Diceros bicornis minor: one gene and its partners. The protein of the gene in region 3 purifies or fractionates together with the protein of the main gene of each other region. This does not show direct contact. Links are inferred from orthologs where the notes say so. Each region holds a gene or a part of one and is shown on either strand. Other genes may lie near its edges. The genes, in order: COPZ1, COPE and COPB1.

Region 1 (7,412 bases), on a different chromosome or scaffold from region 3:
TAGCGGTTAAGTGCGCGCGCTCCGCTGCTGGCGGCCCGGGCCGTCCCGGGCGCGGACCGACGCACCGCTTCTCCGGCCATGCTGAGGCCGCGTCCCACATACAGCAACTAGAAGGATGTGCAGCTGTGACATACAACTATCTACTGGGGCTTTGGGGGAAAAAATAAATAAATAAAATTAAAAAAAAAAAAGAAAGAAAGGTGACCCATTGTAAAGTACCTAAATGAAGGGAACCTACTGGTATTTAGAAATTCCCATAATCGGATCAAATTTCGATTGATGGTTCTTCTTGACCCCCTTCTAGCTTACCCTTCCCTTCTTCTCAATGTCCTATGGCTGTGTGCCTTGCAGAGGTGAGGATAGAAAAATATGCTTTGATCAGATTTCCTCAGAGGTCCAGCCAAACCAGGAAATAGAAATGTGAAAGAAGGAAGCCTAAAGGAATTTTAGAAGGTGTCTGTCCTCTCTAAAGAGTGGCTTGGTAAGCACCATCTGGGCACAGTAAACTCTTTAGTTCAGTAGAGAGGTAAGGTAAGATCCAGGGATTCCTCATACTTTTCATAATGAAGATGGTAACCTAAGAATAAGGAGATGCTGCTGAGTTGACAGACGAAGGGATGCGATTAAAAGGAGCAGTGAGGAAGGGTGATTCTGTATCAGATGGAGCTAAATTTTGTAGGCCAGCATGTGAGTCTAGTGAGAAGAGAAATAAAAATTCAGGAAATATCACCTGATTCTCAACTAGGGTTCCTCATATGAACGACCGAAAATTATTTAAATTATTTTCTCGCTTCTCCCATGGGCGGTACGAAACTAGTGCCTTTGTGGATACAGAGGAAAGAAGTTGACTCATAACACACAATGAATGCCTTAGGGCATTAAGGCTTAATTCTCTCCCGGAACTCCAGTTGAGAAGGGCTGGAATGGTGAGAAAGGTATATAAATTCTGCGGGCCAGAGGACGGCCTGGTGGCACAGCAGTTAAGTTCATATGCTCAGCTTTGGCGGGCCAGCGTTGGCAGGTTCGGATCCCGGGGGCAGACCAACGCAACGCTTGTCAAGCCATGCTGTGGCGTCATCCCATATAAAGCAGAGGAAGATGGGCACAGATGTTAGCCCAGGGCCAACAGTCCTCAGCAAAAAGAGGAGGATTGGCAACAGATGTTAGCTCAGGGCTAATCTTCCTCACACATGCACACAAAAATTCTGCAGCCTCAAAATATATTCAAATTGTAAAGAGCAAAAAACAAAAAATGTTGGACAGAACCAACACAGAGGAAGGAAAATACTAGTTGAATATCCTAAGAATCCTGGAGACCAGCACAAGAACTGATACCTGTTGGCACTTCGTCCCCAACAAAAGCTTTATGTAACTGATGGATGAAAGTACAATTTTGCATATAGAAGAGGTGGAAAGCCCATGGTGTGCTATCATCAGAGAGGGACTTGCTCTGGGACGATTAGGAACCAGAATCTAATCCTAATTTTGACACTGTGCTTCCTTGAGCAAGCTCTTTTCCCTATACCTGGGTTTCCCCTAACCCTATTACATAGGTTCCTCACAACAAAGAATCAGTATGGTTTTTAAAGCAAAGTTCAGGGGTACCTGACCCGGTTAGCAAGGATCTGTGAATGCGGCATCTTAGGTACAGATCAAAATGCATATTAGGAAGAAGCAAGAAATAGACTTCACTGAGGAAGCAGAGACAGAGAACTGAGGTCAAAGAAAATGTGACCGACAGACTTTCACATATAACTCCCTCAACTCACCACAACACACAGATCCCTTGTTAAAAGGGCTCCCCAAGTATCATCTCTCTCACTCTTTTACCTCTAAGCAGGTTCCCTTCTAAACAGATGTAGGGAGCAGTCTAAAAATTTCTAAAAACTTCCAAAGAAATCAATTCCCTAGAATTTCTCCCAGTCTGCTAACTGTTTAAGAATACTGGTTAACTGCCTGGTATAGAAAATATCTTACTAAAAACTACTCACATTTTAAGCTTTCTATCTAGACTTGACTAACCCATATGACGAGAAGGAATTATCTCTATCTTTGCCATTTTGAAAGAGGGGAATTAAACCCGTATTCTCTTTACCTGTTGAGGATCTGAATGTGTACATGTATTAGAGCTGAAGGAAAAAAAAAAGACAGGAAAGAGGCCTCGAGTTCAACTCAAGGAAGGAGCTGGAAGCTAAACTCCTACACAGAGGTGTGTTAACAACCTCAAATTGCAAAACAGGGCCCTTTTGAGAGAAATGCTCTGGTCCAGTTCTAAAGAAGGAGTTATTCTATTTGTTTAAACAAGCAAAAAGGATCATATGGACAAGGGAGCTAATACACCCCTTTAGCCACCAAAATTCTCATATAACCAGAGGGCGAGTTAGCATCCCAGATCCTACAATAAGAATTCCTAAGGTTTAAATGGGGGAGGGAAAAGGAGAACAGAATAAGGAGTCTGGAAAAATATTCCAAATCCACGCTAACTCTATCAGGTATTCCAGAACTTGGATGGAATACTGATTCTTCATCATGACAAATCCACATAAAAGGGATAAACTGAAGTAAAAAGAAAACAGTTTCTTGACGGAATGATCAACACAGAGTCAAACCATCAGGAGGAGCCTGTGATGACAAACACCTGCCCTCTATTATTACAATTTGGGGCGAGTTTGGAGGTTTGGGGAAACTCAAATCAGGGTATCATCCACAATGCTCAGAATCAGGGGGAACCTGAAGGACCCCAATCCACTGCGCTTATGATCCTATGTGTCTCAAAGAGTCCACGTGCTCCCTTCAACTTTCCACCGACTCTGCCCTCTCCCCGGCGGAGCTTTCTACTCTAAACCGAGGCTTTAGCTCCTGCGCTAGGCCACACGCTTATTCCACAGGCCGGCAGAACCTTCGGTCCCCGAGGATTACCCGGAACTCCTCTTTCTCCCCACTCCCAGTCAAGTTGAACCCCTACTCCCGGCCCCTGTGGACACCGCAGTATCCCAGCTGCCCCCCCGGCTCCTACCAAAATCAGCGCCTCCATCTTGCCCCGCAGCCGGTGCCGACGTGGAGCCGCAAAAGCAACGCCGCCGCTGATTGGCCCTACGCCCTCATGAGGCGCCGCCCAGGATGGGGGTTATTGGACTACCAGGTGCCAGCTATTGCTCTACTGACCAATCAGTGTACTAGCTTGCTTAGCGGAAGCAAGGCGCCCAACCAGAAGGCGCAAGTATTTGATTGTCAGTTTAAACACTCAATAAAACGCCAAAACCTCAAGCCTGAACGGGGCGGGAGGGCCAGTGGGGCGGGGTTGTTTCCATGGGGAACAGGGGAAGCGATTATTAATTTTCGATTGGCTGGGCGAAGGGCATGTGATACCTCCCGTCTGATTTAGCAACTTTAATCCGCACTCCCTTTAGGGGGCGCTGTGTCTCTTTAGCCCTTAACACTGGCAGCGCCTGAGAGAATCCTACCCTAATCCCCATTCCAAGAGCCCCCGTTAGGTCCCTGATATCCATGGTTGCTTTGGCCAACAATGCTAGCTCTCCCCTCAGACTCTCTCAGGTCACTTCAGCAACCTCACAGCAAGTCTGCACAACCATAGAGTAAAGCCAAGAGATGCCCAGCATGTTAACTAGATAAACCAAGGCCACCAGAGGTTGATTGCTGGAGTAACGATCTCCCCATTGTGGTGTTCCTGGCTTTGCTGGGCCCAGGGAAGGACAAGCAGCCAGTGAGTTTCTAAAAACAGATTTTCTTTGGCCGGACGTGAAACGGGATGTTAGAACTTTGGAGACCGAAGAGGAAAGAGTAGGAGGGACAAAGGGGTAAAGGGTCCAGGATAAAGGAGGGTATAGGGAGCAGGGTCTGCGGTTTTCCAGTAGGGACAAGCCGTTGCAAAAACGAGAAAAGAGAAGTTTACCGAATGCAGGGATTTCACAATAGGGAAGGGCTTTGATAAAGTTTAGCTTTCACCTACCTCTCGGTTCCTTGGTCCCCAATCCCCCTTAGATCAGGGACACCTTCTGTTGCCTTATATTATCTCCAAAGTGTTTGTGTTTTTTTTTCCCCCCATCTCTGACAATTATGTCTTTAGGAGCCCTCCAAGAAGGGCATCAAAACGAGGAATTTTTCTAATAATTTCAGAGTAGAGTTAGAGGACCTAAGAAAAAAGTATAGAACAATACAAAACAAACTACAGAGCTAACATATGCTATGAAGGAAAGTATATGACTTTCTGGTGAAGTCACAGGTGACAAGCCTCATATCTGGAAGAAACAAGGGCTTAGCCTTTATCTATTCTGAATGGGGAGTTATTCCAGCATTTAGCACTGTGCCTGGCATCACAAGGTTGTCCTTGGCTTGCTAGCTTAATATTAACATTTATTGACCACTTACTATGTGGCAGGCACATGCTAAATCTTTGAATACACTATTTAAAATATGTTTAAAACCCTTATGAAGTAGATGGTTATTACTCCCATTTTACGGATGAGAAAAGTGGAGCTCGGAACAGTTAAATAATTTACTTAAGGCCATACAACTATTAACTGGCATCCTTACATTTGAGCATAGGAGGTCTGGTTCTAAAGCCATGTTCTTACCCACAATCCACTCCTCTGACTTGTGGTATAGCCTCTCTTTCGTCCCGGTCCTACCTGAAGTACCCTACACCAGAGCCAGATGTTCTAGAGGGACCATGAGGAGGAAAAATGTGTGATGTGGTTGGTTGGGGAGGAGGGGACTCCTCTTTCTTTGATTGTGGAGTAACTGACAAATTTTAACAGTCAGCCATTGTTCCAGAAAATGGCTGATTCTTAGCTCTCCAGCCTATTGAGTAACTATGGGGAGTTAGTGGTGAGGAGAAGACAACTAGCTGAATCGGAAATATTCTTGTCATGACTTTGCCTTAATAAGTGGGAGACTTCTGGCAAGTCCTTGTACCCTCTCTGGACTACAGCTGCCACTTCTGGAAAATGGGGAGGCTCAGACCAGAGTTTTCTAAGGCCCTACCTAGTGTTCAAGTTCTGTGATCATTCCTGCTCCTTTTGTTTCCATCTTCCCTTCACCTGGAAAACCTTCAAGAACCAATCAAACGTAAAATGCATATGTTCCCTCTCCCTCTCTCCCTCTCTCTCCCTGTCTCTGTCTCTGTCTCGCTCTATGTATTTATATGTATACACACATAATATAAAACCATGTATATATGGTTACAAACAATTTATTAAAAATGAGTGGAGGAAAAGACTGAAAGGAAACACAACAAAATGTAACCAGTGGCTGTTTTGAAGTAGTAGGACTTTTTTCAGTGTTTCCATATTTTTCCAGGTATTCTAAAATGTGTGGGTGCTATTTTAAAAGGAGAAAAATAGGGCCGGCCCCGTGGCTTAGCGGTTAAGTGTGTGCGCTCCGAGCTAGCACCGACGCACCGCTTCTCCGGCCATGCTGAGGCCGCGTCCCACATACAGCAACTAGAAGTGTGTGCAACTATGACATACAACTATCTACTGGGGCTTTGGGGGAAATAAATAAATGAAATTTTAAAAAATAAATAAATAAAAGGAGAGAAATGAGCTATTTTTTAAAGAACAAAATCAACATCTTCTTCTCATGAAGCCTTCCCTGATGTCCCAGGTGGAGTTGGACACTTTCTCCTTGCTGCCATCGTTTACGGTCGTAGGCATTTTGTAAGACATCAACATAACACCAGACTTGCCATCTGAGGCAGTGCCTTGTCCCATACATTTGTGTGTGTGTGTATGTGTGTGTGTATGTGAGGAAGATCAGCCCTGAGCTAATATCTGCTGCCAATTCTCCTCTTTTTGCTGAGGAAGATTGGCCCTGAGCTAACATCTGTGCCCATCTTCTTCTACTTTATATGGGACGCTGCCACAGCATGGCTTGACAAGTGGTGCATGGTGCGAGCCCGGGATCCGGGCCTGCGAACCCCGGCCACCGAGCCGAGCAAGTGCACTTAACCGCTACGCCACTGTGCTGGCCCCTGTCCCATTCATTTTATTTCCCTAGCACCTAGCCCTCAAACGGTAAATCCTCAAACAGTAAGTGTTTACTGAATGGAATGAATATTTGTAAAAATGCAAGATACAAAGATGAATGAGCAGTGTCAAAGGGCAGTTCAGGGTTAAATATCAAGAGGCACAGATACTGAGGAGGGAGTGATCCCTGAGGATGGGAGCTGGGGGAGGTCAAGGTCTAAGAGAAGAGGGTGAGTTAGGCCTTGATTCATTCATGCATTGATTAAATGACAGGTGGAGTTTGGTAGGAATAAAGGTATGGAGGTTGGGATGTGTAAGGAATCTTTTTTTTTTTTTACTTTTTAAATTGTAAAGTAAAAAAATATTTTATTTAGTGTTATACACAACATAAAATTTACCATTTTAACCATTTTAAATGTGCAGTTCAGTGGCCTTAAGCACATTGTTATGCAATCATCACCACTATCCCTCTCCAGAACTTTTTCATCATCCCAAACTGAAACTCTGTACCCATTAAACAATAACGCTCGGTTCTCCCCTCCCCCATAGACCTTAGTAACCACTAGTTTACTTTCTGTCTCTACGAATTTAACTGTACTTGTACCTTATATAAGTGGAATCATATAATATTTGTCCTTTTGTGTTTGGCTTATTTCACTTAGCATAATGTCTTCACAGTTGTGTAAGAAATCTTTGAGGGATTGATTTCATAGCACAGAGGATTGAAATAAAGAAATAGGGAAGAGGATGGAGTAAAACTGGAAAGGTACTTTGTGGCCAGATTGTGAAATGCCTTGAATGCAAACCTAAGTAGTGGGACCAGATGACCATGGGAGTTGGAGCTTACACTCTTGGAAAGTGTTATAGCAACATCCTATAAAATTAAACATGGGTACATCCCCTCCTAGAAATTAAAAACATAACCCAGTACATAGTGATACATATATAAGAATGCTTATTGCAACATTGCTTACAATAGCAAAAAATAACATTATTGTCTATCAATAGGAGGATAGTTGAACAGATTATTTTACATCCAGACTGTGGAGTAATATGCAACTAATAAAAAGGAATGTTAAGCCATATGCTTTAACCTGGAGAAATGGTAATGGCATGATTTTTTTGGTTTGTTTGTTTGTTTGTTTAATTTTATTTATTTTTTTCCCCCCAAGCCCCAGTAGATAGTTGTATGTCATAGCTGCACATCCTTCCAGTTGCTGTACGTGGGACACTGCCTCAGCATGGCTGGAAAAGCGGTGTGCCGGTGCGCGCCTGGGATCCGAACCCGGGCCGCCAGCAGCAGAGCACGCACACTTAACCGCTAAGCCGTGGGGCCGGCCCAGGTAATGGCATGTTAAATGAAGAAAAGTATGTTGCAGGGGCTGGCCCCATGGCATAGTGGTTAAGTTTGCGCATTCCGCTTCG
Region 2 (7,908 bases), on a different chromosome or scaffold from region 3:
TTGCCGGAGGCCACCCTCCCCCTCTGGCCCCTCTGTGGGCACCAGGGGACCAGCGAATGGGAGGAAGTACCCTGGGGTTGCTCACCGGGAGGCCACATCTGTCGCGATCAGGATCCGGTAGATGCTAGACTTGAACTTGGCCAGGGCGGCAAAGCGTTCTTTCTGTGCCGGGTCAGGGAGAGAAGCAGGGGAGCTGGGGTCAGGGGGCATCTCAGCAAACGTTTGAGCACTTAGTGTGTGAGGCCTGGGGACAGGCCGGGACCATCCCCGCCCTCACGGGGTTCACAGCCCAGCAAGCAAGACGACCGTGGGAAGACCAGATGGAGCAGACGACTGGCAGGAATAGGGAGGAGCCTGGGCAAAGGCCCTGAAGCTGGGAGGAGTCCCCAGGGCGAGGCAGATGGGCGACGGGGTCTCTGGGGCAGCCCACCGTCTCACCTGTTTCATCATGGAATGCAGGGCCACGGTGGGGAAGTTGAATTTGCGCAGCATCATGCACAGGATCTGGCAGGTCCTGTGGGAAGGGTGTGCTGTCAACCCCTGCAGCCCACCCCTGAGACCCCAAGCAGGTGGCCCTACACAGCTGGGAAAGGAGAAGCAGGGGTGTGGGGTGTCCTCGCTGGTAACATCCTCTCTGCTGACCCTTTCCCTGGCCTAAGATAACGAGTCACCCCTATATCCAGACGTTTCTGGTAGCCAATAAGTTCTTGGAGGGCAGCAGCCAGTTAGGAGGCCTCCTCAATGCAACGTGGACTGCCCCTCTATCCTAGCTCATACTGGAATAGCCTACATCTTCTTGACATCTCCCCAAAAGCTTCAGAGGAGGAGCCGACTTGAACTGGCTCTAGGGACCCCTGGGATTGCAGAGACAACAGCCTGGGTGCTGGTGCGCTGGGCCTCAGTGACACCCTAGAGCATAGCAAATCTGCTGCAGGGGTTCCTGGGGACAGCCCGAGGCCCCTGGCCCTTCTAGTTAAGGGCAGGTCTGAAAAACCCCAAATCCTGGCTCCAGCTTCAGGAGAAGTGACCATGGCGAATCCCTTGGTCTCTCTGAGCATCCTTGAGAGAGTTCTCTGAAATCTCTGGTCTGAGCAGAGGCCCCACAGCACCGAGTCTGGCCGTGTGCCTCACATCTGCACCTTGGCCCCTCTTGGGCCTCCGTGAAGGGCTCGGGGGGGGGGGCCCGCTCAAGCTCACTTGCACGTGTTGGTGAAAATGATGATGGACCAGTCCTCGTGCTCGTCCTGGAAGTTCTGGATCAGGTGGACCAGGTAGGCATCCTTGATCTTCTCAGGCACCAGCAGGTAGCGCTGATCCAGCTGCTCCACCGTGCGTACCCTGGGGACAGGTGCGCCATGTGTCCCCTTCTGCTGAATGGGGCCAATGCCCCGCCCTGCCCACGGGTAATAGCCTCCATTGGGGATGCCCCCCCACCCCCTGCCTGCGCTGCTGCTCTTACAGGGCCTGAGCCTCCCAGAAGAAGGGCTGGTTGGTGGCCAGGCCCTGCAGCTCCCGGAGCGTGTCGGTCAGTGTGGCACTGAAGAGCAGGGTCTGCCTGCGGGCCGGCACGGCCGCCAGGATGGTCTCCAGGTCCACAGTAAAGTCAGTGCAGCCCTGCTCCAACAGCCGGTCCGCCTCATCCAGCACCTGCGGTGCCGGTGGCGGGGGGTGGGGGTGGATCTGGGGTGAGGGTGCTGTCTGGGGCCTGACCCGCCTCCCCCATGTGCCTCCTTCCCTGCCTTGGATGTGAGCCCTGGAGAACTGTCCCTCTAGGTCTCGGAGGCCTGCTCCCTCACCCATCTTGGCTTCTACGTCAGCTCCTCCGAGAGACCCTGCCCCAACCATCTTCCTAGTACAGGTCCCCTCGTTGGTCCCTGAGTGTCCTTGTCACTGTTCCCAAAGCTCTACTGCATGGCCTGTGGGACGCATGTTTCCCAAATAGATGAATCAGCGCCCCAGGCCAACTCACCAGGAAGCGGATCTTCTTTATGCTGAAGGTGCTGGAGCTGCGGAGGTGGTCTGCCAGGCGCCCCGGAGTGGCAATGACCACGTGTGGTTTCCGGGAGAGCTCCAGGGCCTGAGCCACCATGTCTGTGGGTGAAGGGCGAGAGGTGGGGCTGGGCAGGTGGTCCAAGGCTGCAGAGGGCCACACTCAGAGCCTCCCCGAGCCCTCCGTACCCATGCCGCCTACGATGATGCAGTCTTTCAGGCCCAGAGGCTTCCCCAGGACCCGGAACTGCTCTGCGATCTGGTAGGCCAGCTCCCTGTGGGCATGAAGAGGCCGGGTTGGGTCAGATAGGGGTTCTGTGCCTTCTCCCATTCCTGTCTCCACCCGCCGGCGTCTCCTGACTCACCCTCTCCCGTTCACACACCCTTCAGGGCTCCCAGTCCCCTGTGGTCAAAGGCTCTGATGCTGAGCGTTGGAGGCCCGCTGTGGCCCCTGCACCCTCCCCAGGCTGGGCCCCAGATCAGCCCAGGGCCCTGCCCCCCCCCCCAGTCCCATCCAAACTGGCCTTTCCTCCTCCCACGTCCTCAGCAATGGTCTCAACACCAGTCACCAAAGCCTGAGACCCGAGCATCAGTCCCCCCTCCCCGGGGCTGGTCAGTGTCCAAGTCCCCTCCTCTGTGCCTCAGGCCCAGCTCTGCCCAGGCCTCTCCTCGGCCCCTGTCCCCACTTCCTGGCCTCCTGTCTTGCCCTTTCCTGCTCACACACCTTCTGAATCAATTCTAACCTGACATTCAAGGCCCTTCTCAAGCTGGCTCTAACACACCTGGCCCACAGGACCCTTTCTGTTCCCTGCCTCTCAGACCTCTGCATGAATGCACTAGCAGATCTCTCCGCCTAGAATGCTTTCCCCAAACTTGTCCTCTTGAGAGACCTTTTCCATCCATTAAGGCACCCCTTGAATGAAGCCTTCCTCGACGCCCCCTTCCCTGGCCACGCCCTCAACAGCATGCAGCGCCTGCCTCTTCTGTGGCCATCACAGGACTTGTCATTTCAACTGCCACACGTGTCTGCCCAAGAACTGGAGATGTGTTTACAGTCAGGCATCACTTGACAGGAACCCGTTCTGAGAAATGCGTTGTTAGGCAATTTTATGGTTGTGCGAACATCACAGAGTGCACTTACACAAACCTGGGTGCAGCCTCCTACATACCCGGGCTCTATGGCGCTGATCTTATGGGACCACTGCCATATATGCGGTCTGTTGTCGACCGAAACATCGTTACGTGGCAAGTGACTGTATTTCTTGGGCTGTAAGACTACTGATGGCTCCTTTCCGGCAGTGCCTGCCCTGAGGCAAGCCCTGTGCCCAGCACTTTTGGCACACCGTCTTGTTTAATTCTGCAGCACTCCTATGAGGTGGCCTCGATTTCTGTCCCCATTTTGCACATGGGGAAAGTGTTGCTCAGCAAGGTAAAGGCGCCTGCCTGAGAGCACAGCTGGTTAACTTACCCAGGAGACCTGTAGGGGGCTCACCTGGTGGGTGTCAGGACGAGGCAGAAGATGCCATAGGGATCCTCAGACAGCTTCTGCAGGATGGGCAGGACAAACGCTGCTGTCTTGCCGCTGCCTGTCTTGGCACAGCCCAGGCAGTCCCGACCTGGGCAGAGGGCAAAGCAGCATCAACACACTTTAGGTGTAGACGGGTGTTCCATTTGGCACAGTTGACAACAGCTGACATTTAATGAGCAGTTACTGTGTGCCCAGTACTGCCTATGCCATTTCCCCTCCGAACATACTGACAACGTTCCATTGCTGGTAACTGACAAATTCTAGGAGGGAAAGGCCGTTATCATCCCCATTTAACAGAAGGCAAAAATGAGTCTCAGAGATTTGTCCAGGACACACGGCTGGCTGATGCCAGACTAGACTGGAACCCTCATCCATCTGACCCAATATGCCTGCTACTGACCACTACCTCATTTTGACTCCCTTCCAGAGCACCTGAGCTTGGGGAACCTGGAATGCCCTCCCCAATCTGCATCCTATGCTCCCTGTTAATTCTTCCATCTTTATTTAATCCCTCAAATTGTCTCATCCTAGGCTTCTTGAGGGCCCCTCAGTAATGGCAAATTAGGTCGGGCCAGAAGAGTGGGGAGAAGAGCAGTCACGGGACCAGCGTCCTGGATTTACCAGTAATGTTGACAGCCTCAGTTTCCATTTGTAAAATGAAGATAAGTAGTGCAAACTCTACCAAATCTTCCCAGTACTATCGATTAATCATTTATGAAACCCTCCCTGTTCTGAAGCTATAAAAGTTTCAGAGATTATATCACTTGTGCGAGGACACACAGCCTAACACCAACACTGCCCAGTCTGCCTCCGGAACCTACACTCGCCCGTAACGCCCAAGCCTGCCCCACGCCTCACAGGACCGGCGTGGGCAAAGAATGAGAGGCAACAGGAGTGGAGATGCCTCTGGGAAGAGGCCGGGCCACACTCACCCTCCAGGATGGCGGGGATGCAGCCGAGTTGTACGGGCGTGGGCTGCTTCAAACCCAGCTGCCGACATTGTTCCACCAGCCACGACGACAGGCCGAGCTCCGCGAAGCCGGCCATCCTCGCCGCCAGCCCCGTGTGAGCAGCCGTGTGTAGAGGCGCTTCCGGCGCGTGCTGATGACGTCACGAAACCTCTCCCGTTAATTGGATCCGCCTCCTGCATGGTCCCGCCCTCTCCAGCTCACTCTGCCATCGACCGCATCCTTACCATATTTCCCCGAATCCCATTGGCTCGCAGGATCGAATCAAACTACAATTCCCGAGATGCCCTGCGAGACGCACTCGCGTCCCCCGTACCCCCGTTTAGGCGTCTCCCATTGGCTCATCTCCAGGCCGGAACGAGTGAACTACATTTCCCGGCCCCGCGGTGGCCCCCTGCTTCCGGCCGACGTGTCCCTCAGGAAGAAGAGCGGTTGCGACGATAGCGATATGGCGCCTCCCGCCCCCGGCCCGGCCTCCGGCAGCTCAGGGGAGGTGGACGAGTTGTTCGACGTGAAGAATGCTTTCTACATTGGGAGCTACCAGCAGTGCATCAATGAGGCGCAGCGGGTGAAGGTGCGGCCGCTCCGGGCCCGGGACGCTGGGGGCGGGGACGGAGGAAGCTGCCTGGTGGCCGCGAGTCGCGGTCTGACTTTAAGAACGCTTCCTCTTCTCGCGGCGGTTTCCCCTCACGCATCTCTTGAGAGCGCGGTGAGGAGTTATCTTGTCCCATAGCAAATCTCAGAGCAGTAACAGTTCATAGTGCTTCTCACTCAGAGCGCTCGCTCTGCGTCCTGGAAGCATTGGAGTAAGAGAGGCATTTGTATCATGTAGTAATAATGTTCTCCTTTGTTGAGCGGCCCACACTGTTCCGCCAGACCCTCAATTCCCGTGAAGTAGGGACTGCTGTTTATCCTCATTTTACAGAGAACACTGAGGCTCAAGAGAGAAATGGCTTCCCCGGTGTTATCCTGCCCCACTAGCCCGGTCATTTGTCCCCAGACGTGCTTGTTCAGTTATTCATTCGTTCGTTCCTCATTGAGCATCTCTGTGGGCCAAGTAGTGTATTCGTGCTGGGCTCAGAGCAGTGACAAAACAGACAAAACTCCTAGCATTTTCAGAAACCTCAGCCTCTCAAGGGAGACAGACAGTAAAGGAGTAAATAAACAAGAAGTCAAGAGGTGGCGTGATGGAGAGTGGTGGGAATGAGCTTGGCTGTTTGAGAGCTAGAAAATAGCCCTGCAAGGCAGGGCCCAGCCAGCCAGTGACAGGAGAGGGGGCACCAGGGGCCATTAGCAGCAACTTTTGGGGAGGGACATGATGTTACTGACACTGCGAGAGTGAACCATTGGAGAACTTTTAAGAGCAGTGAAATTGGCAGTCTTGCCTGCCTTCACAGTCTAGTGTTCCAAAGAGAGTAAGCAAGTAAAGAAGCTAGTGAATACGTAGTTACAACTTGAGCACTCTGGGGATGGGGGTAGATAAAAAGTGCTGAGAATGGAGAAGGAGGGTGCTGCTTCATGTGGGAGTGGTCAGATCAGGCCAGGCCTCTCTGATTGTCATTTGAACCTGAGGCTGAATCTTGAGAGGCGTCTGACCCCATAAACTGCTGCAAAAGTGCTGAGGCAGGGATGAGCTTGGCGTAGCCCAGGCATAAGGGGTCAGTGTAGCAGAAGTGGGGCAAGCGATGGGGAGGATGAGAATGAGGTGGGCAGGGCCTTGGGGTCACGGCAGGGCTTTAGATTTTATTCTAAAGGCACAGGAAGCCACTGGAGCACCTAGTGAGAGAGTGGCAGGTGTCTTCACAGAGGCAGCCAGAGAGTTGGGAGGAATTTAGACTCTGAAGTAGAGAAGGCTTGTTTTCCATGCTTTTCGCCTTTTGCAGTGTACCTGATTTCCCTGCACGTCATCTGTATAATGGGGATAAAGCCTCAAACAGATTTCAGAAAGCGGTTTGGATTTCTTGAAATAACGTTTGCATGATTGCATGAGTTTTCTGTTGCCGCCGGGACAAATTATCTCAAACAATAGCTTAAGATGACACAAACTTATCTCAAAGTTTCTATACGTCAGAAGTCCAACACGGCTCACCAGGCTAAAATCAAATTGTCAGGTGGGCTGTGTCTTTTCTGGAGATTCCAGGGAAGAATCTGCTTCCAAACTCATTCAGGTTGCTGGCTCTCTGCCTGGGACCACCTAAGTTACCTCCTAGAAGCTTCTCTCCAATTCTCAACCTCCATGTAGCCCCTCCATCTCAGAACTAGCCGTGGGGTTCTCACAGTTGGAATCTCTCGAATTTCCCCTTCTGCATTCCTTCTGTCTGTTAGCTGCTATCAGCTTCTGTGATTGGGCTGTGCCCTCCCAGATAACCCAGCATAGTTTCCCCCTCTTAGGGTCCATAACCTTAATCACAGCTCTGAAGTCCCTTTTGTGACGTGATGTAAGCTATTCACAGATTCCAAGGACTGGTGTGGACATCTCTGGGCAGCAGGGGTGGGGGGTGCCTTATTTGGCTCACCACCACAATTTTATGTGTCTCTTGGCTGGGGTAGTGTGGGCTGCGAGAAGATTGAGACAGACCTGGGCTCAGATTTCGGCTCTGCTACCAGGGCTGAGTCATTGCACCTCTTTGAGCTTCTGTTTTCCTCTCCTGTCAAATGGGAAAAATGATGCCTATCTCATTAGGGTCACTGTGAGATTCAGTGTTACACTCACATTCCACCTTTTGACTTCTACCGTATGTCTGTTCTGCTTACTTCATAGCGATGTGTTCTTTTGAGTCATTATATGCAGACTATACACTGCTGCTGAAAGGGAGAACCAGCATGACCTGCTGCACATAGAGAGTGTCTGAAAATGAAGATATGGAAACCATGTCAGTGGTCACTTTGGCTGGAGGCACACTGCTCAGCCTCTGAGCTGGGGACCTGCGCCCTCTTTGGCGATGTGATCAAGAGGTGCTGCCACCAAGCCAAGGTGTTCTCCCTGAAGCATCCAGAAGAATGGAGCACTCTCCCCCCTGAGCCATTTGATGTGATTTAATTCTGATCCATAGGCCACCTGAACCGTCCTGGGCAGGCTGTACTGGGTTGAGTGGTGTCCCTGAAAAGATATGTCTACCCAGAACCTGTGAATGTAGCTTACTTGGAAAAAGGGTCTTTACAGATGTAATTCAGTAGGATCTCTAGATGAAGTCATCCAGGATTTAGGATGGGCCTTAAATCCAATGAGAAGTGTCCTTCTAAGAGAAAGGCAAAGAGAGGTTTGAGACACAGACAGAGAAGACAGAGGCAGAGATTGGGGTGATGAGCCACAAGCCCAGGAACACCTGGAGTCCCAGAAGCTGGGTGAGGCAAAGAAGGATCCTCCTAGAGAGCCTTTGTGGGGAGCCACGGCCCTATTGACACCTTAATTTTGGACTTCTG
Region 3 (7,336 bases):
AAGTAAGTTGAACAGCAAACTTGTAAAAAAAACTATACAGCCCCCCTAACCCCAATTTCCATTTATTCCAACAATTCAAATTGAGGTGAAGGATGCTTCTTTCCACATATTCAAAATTTTCAGAACTTATTTTCCTCTATGAACACTACTGAAAATTTCAAATATCAAGTCAATTCATCAAAATACACTAGGTATGTCCTACTCCAGGGAATGTATAGCTATCAGAGCTCATACCCAGCGATAAACGGTAAAGAAAAGCGTAGGTAAAGCAACTCAATGTTTCACGAAACAAAAAAATATTTGTTATTCAAACTGGAAACTACTTCCAAACTTTGTCTCATCTCAACTCTTTTGAGAGAAAGTCAAAAATATACATAAAATTCAAGACTACTTACTTATTTATTGGTAGGGGGAGAGTAGTTAAGAAAAGAGTATGGTTACAATTAAGGACAGATTTTTGTTTTTTATCTTCCCAGCTATAACTTTAAGGAATTTGGGGGTCTAAAAATGAAAAGTTTTAAATTATAAGAAAAAAGTAGCAACGAAAGCGTATTCATTAACTTGCATTCTATTCTATCTTACATAAATATGGGGGAAGAAAAGGAAATATATGTGGCTTTTGTATATAAGGAGTATCAGTTTAAACGTCACAAAAGAGGGTTTCTTTGTCCTTCTCTAAAAATAGACCTTGAGGCCAGCCCCGAGGCACAGCGGTTAAGTTCTCGAGCTCTGCTGCTGGCGGCCGGGGTTCGGATCCAGGGTATGCACTGAGGCTCGGCTTGTCAAGCCATGCTGTGGCAGGCGTCCCATATAAAGTAGAGGAAGATGGGCACAGATGTTAGCCCAGGGCCAGTCTTCCTCAGCAAAAAGAGGAGGATTGGCATTGATGTTAGCTCAGGGCTGATCTTCCTCACAAAATAAATAAATAAATAAATAAAAATAGACCTCAATAGGAACCTAATATTAAGTAACCTAAAATCAGGAGGTATTCCATTACTGCTGATTGAGAGGTGGAAATACGCAAGTAAAATATTGTCTCCTTTCAAACTGCAAACCAGAGATTTGAAGCGTAATTTGCACTCAGTTTTAAACAGTAGTTATCAGTTTAACTTATTTTTAGTAGTTCAATTAAACAATCATTATTTTGGAATGTGCACTATTTAAAAAAATTTTTTTGACAATCACTCACAAAAAGGAGACACAGCATACACTGTTAAAATTAAGAAATATGTTTTCTTCTTTGCATAAATGCTTTAAAAATGAAAAGCTTAAACCTTCCTGCAAAACACATGTGTATTCCAGTGTTGACTTCATTTATTCAACAGGTGGTGAACCCAAAGAACCAAGTTCTTTTGGTTTTACAAGCTAAGTAACACGAAGTTAAGAGCACAAAGGAACTAAGACATTCAAATACACACTCTCAACCTGTTACCTACAGAGAACTGTCAGCTACATTTAAGCATAATGCATTAAACGACACAAGCCATTATGTTATTTTGAAGAATATCTAACAACTAAACTATTACATTTCTTTTTTTTTTTAATTTTTATTTATTTATTTGGAAGGAAGATCCGCCCTGAGCTAACATCTGCCAATCCTCCTCTTTTTGCTGAGGAAGACCGGCCCTGGGCTAACATCCGTGCCCATCTTCCTCCACTTTATATGAGACGCCGCCACAGCATGGCTTGACAAGCAGTGCGTCCGTGCGTGCCCGGGATCCGAACCAGCGAACCCTGGGCCACTGTAGCAGAGCACACACACTTAACCGCTTGCGCCACTGGGCCAGCCTCTAAACTATTACATTTCTTTAGCTTTACTAAGCTAAACTGAGATGTTTTATTTCCAAAAACAAATACTACAAGTCTAAAGGTAGCAAGTTTTCATTTTTAATAAGACAAAAGGTCTATTGAAGAGATCCTAGAAAAAAATATTTAGACAAAAGCTAAGCATTTCTAATTATAAAGAACTTGAAGTACACATGAGCTTTTTCTTTTCATTTTTTTCCATTTAATATTTTCCAAATATTATCAAAGTTTACCTAGATCATTTTTTAAGCTAATTTCAGATGGTGGTTCTGAATCCATTGGCACGTTAATTAACGTATAGCACACATTCTCAGCAGCCGTCATGGTTTCCGGTTATAAATCAACCCTCGATACAAGATTTAAGGATGACAGATGCCAGAAAATCTAGAAAAATAAATACAAGGATATCATTACAAGTAAAAAAACAAAAACAGAAACCCAACCAGTAACTATCGTGATCTTTACTGTCTAAAGTTCAATCAGTTTTGTTTATGAGTTTTTATTAAAGTATTAGAAGGGCAGAGTCAATCTATACTGCGTACTATAAAAATAAAGCCTATTATAATAAAAAACACTTGTCAGCCTTGGCCTGAGGCATATTACCTCCCACCCCACAACCCCACCCAGAGTTTAGAGTGCTGTACTGCAGGATAGGCCCACAATACCGTCCGTGACAGTCCCCAAGCCCCATCCCACCATGTTACAGAAATGACTTTTTAACATAACACACAATCTGGACTGCTCATGTTAAGAGACCCTGTGCACGAATACTCTGCTAAAACTAAAGCGCTTCATCGCGTTGGTCGGTGGGGCCCGAGTCGGTGTACTTGGGTCCCTCAATCTGTGCGCTGCACCCCCACGCTCCTTCTCCGTCCCTTTCCTTCTGCAAAGCAGGCCTCGGCCTGAAGTGGCGAGCCCCGGGGGCCTGGGAGGGAGAAGACCCTGGCCAGGGCGCAGGCCGGGTGGGGAGTCCGGTCCAGAGCTGCCCAGCCTCCCGTTCCGCTCGCCAGGCGCGGCCCCAGCGGCCTACTCCTTCCCCTCCCTTATCCTCCCGCAGGAGAGCCAGTTCCCCCGACTCTGCCCAGCCCACCACGCCTCCGGGATTAGGGGCTCGTGGCCCGCCACCTGGCTCCGAGGGCAGCAGCGGGGGCAACGGCGGGACCGTCTACTCCGGCTCCAACCTGCAGCAGCGACGGCGGCTCGGCAGACTCCTTGGCTGACGTGGAAGGGGGTGGGCGGACGACCCAGGCCGCGGCCACCTAGCACCTACGGCAACTCAGAGAGGACATGCGTTCTCCGTCCTGCGGTTGCGCGCGGCAACTGTTTCCTGGAAGTTTCTTCCTCTTGTGTCATCCGGCTGGCTTAGGCCACAGAGGGAACTGGAAACCCGTATTTATAAGTTTTCCCTGCGAACCTGAATTAAGTGCTGTGACCATTTAAATGCTGCTTAGAAATTGTCTCTTCTTTCAGGAACTAAAACAGCCAAGGGGAGGAAGTGCTTGGAGAGAGGAGAAACGCATTTTATAGGGCTTTGTGGTCCAGTGGAAAAGAGCGCTAGACTGGGAGCTGGAAGCCCTTTTCTAGCTCACCCAGTGATAAACTGGGAAAGTAACTAACTACTATTTAGGAAAGTAACTTCAGTTCCTCTAATAAGGGATACTAGATTATATGAAGATCTATTTCAGTTTTTATCATCTGCAATAGTCTGAATCTCTGCCTCTGCAGTTAGGCTGGAGTTGCCTCAATGTTCAAGTCTCACTGGTATGATTTCTGGTCTTTATTTACTAACGGTCCCTTTCATGATGCTTTCTGAGTACCCAGTAGATTAAAATTTTTTTATGCATAAAGGGAGATCGGCAGTCACTGTTTTGTTTTTTTTAATACTTTTTTTTTCTTTTGCTGAGGAAGATTTGGCCTGTGCTAACATCTGTTGCCAGTCTTCCTCTATTTTGTATGTGGGTCTCCGCCACAGCATTCCCACCAATGAGTGGTGTAAGTCGGTGCCTGGGAACCAAACCCCGGCCCATGAAGCTGAGGGTGCCAACTTAACCACTACACCATGGCTGGCCCCAACAGTCACTGTTTTAAAGGATTTTACCTATCTCCAAAGACCTAATTGTTACAGCTACAGTCAGCCATGGCATCTTTGGTTTAGCTCATTTGAGGTTCCATATCCCCCCCCCCCGCAAAAAAAGGTTTTTCTGGCCAATTATTAATAAAAAAATTTTGACGTCTTTGAGAAAAATATTGTGAATACAAAGAGGTATGACAGAACCTGCACTTATTAACAGGTTCATCTCAGGGACATAGAACACAAATAGTGACTTACCCATCTAGAATCCAGCTATTTTGAGGTTCCTTCTTTTTGGAAACATTGAGTAAAAAGTAAAAATAAATTTTTTGAGCAACCAAAATATATTACAAAGGCCATGTGCTTATTGCACTTTCTAAGAGTGCTCCTCAAATCCTGTGCATTCATTTTTTAAAAACTGTTTATCTTGAGATAATTGTAGAGTGACATAAATACAGAGATCCCATATATTCTTCACCTAATTTTTTCCAGTGGTAACATCCTGCATAATTACAGTACAATATCAAATCCAGGAAATTGACATTGATACAATTCACTCGTCCTCAATCAGATGTCACCAATTTTACATGCACTTGTGTATTTAGTTCTAGGCAATTTTACCATGTTTAGATTCATGTGATCTCCATCAGTTGAGATACAGAACAATTCCATTACCAGGATACCTCCTGCTATCCTTTTATAGTCACAGCCGCTTCCTTCCTTAACCCATGGCACTAACCTGTTCTCCATCTCTATAATTTTGTCATTTCAAGGATGTAATATAAATGAATTATACAGTGTAACCTTTTGAGGTTGGCTCTTTTTCACTCAGCATAATTCCTTTGAGATCAACCCAAAATGTGTGTACAACAGGTTGTTCTATTTCTGTGTATTCATTTTTAACATGGAATTTTTACAAATGCAGTTATCTGGTTTCTAAGCCCACTTATTAAGAAGTGATGATCTATTGGCATGAAATGAGGCCCCAAAAAGCATAAAAACTAGAGTTAGCAATAAGAAAGCTCAGCAGTTTAGGGCAAGCATGGTGCAGGACTAACTGTGCCCTGGAGGCCCACTGTGTTACAGATTACAACTTGAGGCTTATCATGACTGAGTCATTAAGGAAACTATTAAATATGAAAAGGCAAGATAATGTATTTTATTATTTTTTTTAAACTTTTTTTATAAGGACAATTTTATTTTATTTATTTATTTATTTTGTGTGTGTGTGTGAGGAAGATCAGCCCTGAGCTAACATCCATGCTAATCCTCCTCTTTTTGCTGAGGAAAACCAACTCTGAGCTAACATCTATTGCCAATCCTCCTCCTTTTTTTCTTCCCCAAAGCCCCAGTAGATAGTTGTATGTCATAGTTGCACATCCTTCTAGTTGCTGTATGTGGGACGCGGCCTCAGCATGGCTGGAGAAGCCGTGCGTCTGTGCGCGCCCGGATCCGAATCCAGGCCGCCAGTAGCAGAGCTCGCGCACTTAACCGCTAAGCCACGGGGCTGGCCCCAAGATAATGTATTTTATAAAATCTCATTTTAGGTCTGCACTTAAAATTGTCATTGGCAGTATATATATTGTTGTATATATTTTTTTTCTGTCTCTATGTTTTTGTTTATTGTTATTATCTACTACTTAATGAAGGAAATCAGGGTATTTGACCTTCTCCCTCTGACTTATTTCACTTTGCATAATACCCTTAATGTCCATCCATGTTGTCACAAATTGTTGGATTTCATCGTTTCTTATGGCTGAGTAGTATTCCATTGTGTATATATACCACATCTTCTTTCTCCATTCGTCCCTTGATGGGCACTTAGGTTGCTTTCAAGTCCTGGCTATTGTGAATAACGCTGCAATGAACACAGGGGTGCATGTATCTTTATGCATTGGTGTTTTCAACTTCTTTGGATAAATACCCAACAGTGGAATAGCTGGATCATATGGTAGTTCTATCCTTGATTTTTTGAGGAATCTCCATACTGTTTTCCATAGTGGCTGCACCAGTTTGCACTCCCACCAGCAGTGTATGAGAGTTCCCTTCTCTCCACATCCTCTCCAACACGTTGTTTCCTGTCTTGTTAATTATAGCCATTCTGACGGACATGAGGCGATATCTCATTGTAGTTTTGATTTGCATTTCCCTGATAGTTAATGGTTTTGAACATCTTTTCATATGTCTGTTGGCCATCTGTATATCTTCTTTGGAGAAATGTCTGCTCAGGTCTTTTGCCCATTTTTTAATTGGGTTGTTAGTTTTTTTGTTGTTGAGATGCATGAGTTCTTTATATATTTTGGAGATTAACCCCTTATCAGATGTTGTATATTCTTAAATAGAGCTTGTTGAACATATATGAGGACGTTATATCGCCTAATTCTTCCTGACTTGTTATAACATGCATTTTGTTTTGGGACTTATTTTTACTTTAGCATGTAATTATCATTTGAATGCTCTTGAAATTATAAATTATTTGAGAGCAAGGACTTTGTCATTTACCAAGAATCATAAAAACTTAAATGTCTAGGAAATCAAGGCCTAGAGAAAAGGGACTTGCCCCCAAACCACAAAATGGTTAAACACTGAAAAAGCTGGGACAGGTGAATCCTGTCACCTACTTTACTGCCTCTTATTTTTAACCATACCAGTTCTTCAAAGATGCACATATAGATGCTTAACAAATTCCATGTGAATTGAATATTATCTTTATATCAAAGTGATAGATTTTATGAGAGCACATTATTAGGAATTTTATTGTTTATAATTATTTAACACAAACTAAATGGAATAAGAGCATAACATACTAGACAAAATGACATGAAAAGGCATCACAATGAACTCTGTACAGAGAGTGGGGTTGAATTTTATTGGGGTGGGGAGGAGTTCTAAAGTCTAAAGTCAGTGTATATGACTAAAATCACATATTGAAAAAATTACTAAAATTGCCCCAAAGTACAATACAGATTACTGTTTTTTTTCAGCTGAGCGCCAACCAAATAATGGTTTACACTTAAGAAACAGATACAAAAATGATAGCCAGCCCTGGTGGTCTCGAGGTTGATTCGGTGCTTTCACTGCTACACCACCCACCTGTCGGCTGTCCTACTGTGGTTGCTGCACATTGCTATGACACTGAAAACTATGCCACCAGTATTTCAAATACCAGCAGGGTAACCCATGGTGGACAGGTTTCAGTGGAGCTTCCAGACTAGGAAGGACTAGGAAGAAGGACCTGGCCACCCACTTCCAAAAAAATTGGCCATGAAAACCCTATGAATAGCAGCAGAGCATTGTCTGCTATGGCACGGGAAGGTGAGAGGATGGAGGAAAAAGACGGGTCAGGTTTCAGCTGTGCTGTACACAGGGTTGCTAGGAGTCGGAATCAACTCAATGGCATTAACAACAAATATGATACACATACACATAATCTTTAAATAGAATCACTCAACAGAGGCT

What was found.
Region 1: the proteins of COPB1 (region 3) and COPZ1 fractionate together in Homo sapiens (co-fractionation; 8 studies listed by BioGRID and IntAct, with this or other methods). This does not show direct contact. The link is inferred for Diceros bicornis minor from reciprocal best matches to the Homo sapiens genes COPB1 and COPZ1.
Region 2: the proteins of COPB1 (region 3) and COPE purify together in Homo sapiens (affinity purification with mass spectrometry; 6 studies listed by BioGRID and IntAct, with this or other methods). This does not show direct contact. The link is inferred for Diceros bicornis minor from reciprocal best matches to the Homo sapiens genes COPB1 and COPE.

The regions. Positions count from the first base shown.
Region 1 is NC_080756.1:16,083,956-16,091,367, forward strand, and holds the start of COPZ1 (coatomer subunit zeta-1), read right to left. Parts: upstream 3,081-7,412; 5' UTR 3,035-3,080; coding exon 3,017-3,034; intron 1-3,016. UniProt on the Homo sapiens protein: The coatomer is a cytosolic protein complex that binds to dilysine motifs and reversibly associates with Golgi non-clathrin-coated vesicles, which further mediate biosynthetic protein transport from the ER, via the Golgi up to the trans Golgi network.
Region 2 is NC_080759.1:6,465,248-6,473,155, reverse strand, and holds the start of COPE (coatomer subunit epsilon), read left to right. Parts: upstream 1-4,882; 5' UTR 4,883-4,933; coding exon 4,934-5,059; intron 5,060-7,908. Other genes in the region: probable ATP-dependent RNA helicase DDX49, read right to left, coding at 86-162, 439-514, 1,198-1,338, 1,460-1,647, 1,970-2,091, 2,179-2,264, 3,482-3,605, 4,450-4,564. UniProt on the Homo sapiens protein: The coatomer is a cytosolic protein complex that binds to dilysine motifs and reversibly associates with Golgi non-clathrin-coated vesicles, which further mediate biosynthetic protein transport from the ER, via the Golgi up to the trans Golgi network.
Region 3 is NC_080746.1:72,470,123-72,477,458, forward strand, and holds the start of COPB1 (coatomer subunit beta), read right to left. Parts: upstream 3,037-7,336; 5' UTR 2,932-3,036; intron 2,922-2,931; exon of another isoform or gene 2,897-2,921; intron 2,191-2,896; 5' UTR 2,131-2,190; coding exon 2,040-2,130; intron 1-2,039. UniProt on the Homo sapiens protein: The coatomer is a cytosolic protein complex that binds to dilysine motifs and reversibly associates with Golgi non-clathrin-coated vesicles, which further mediate biosynthetic protein transport from the ER, via the Golgi up to the trans Golgi network.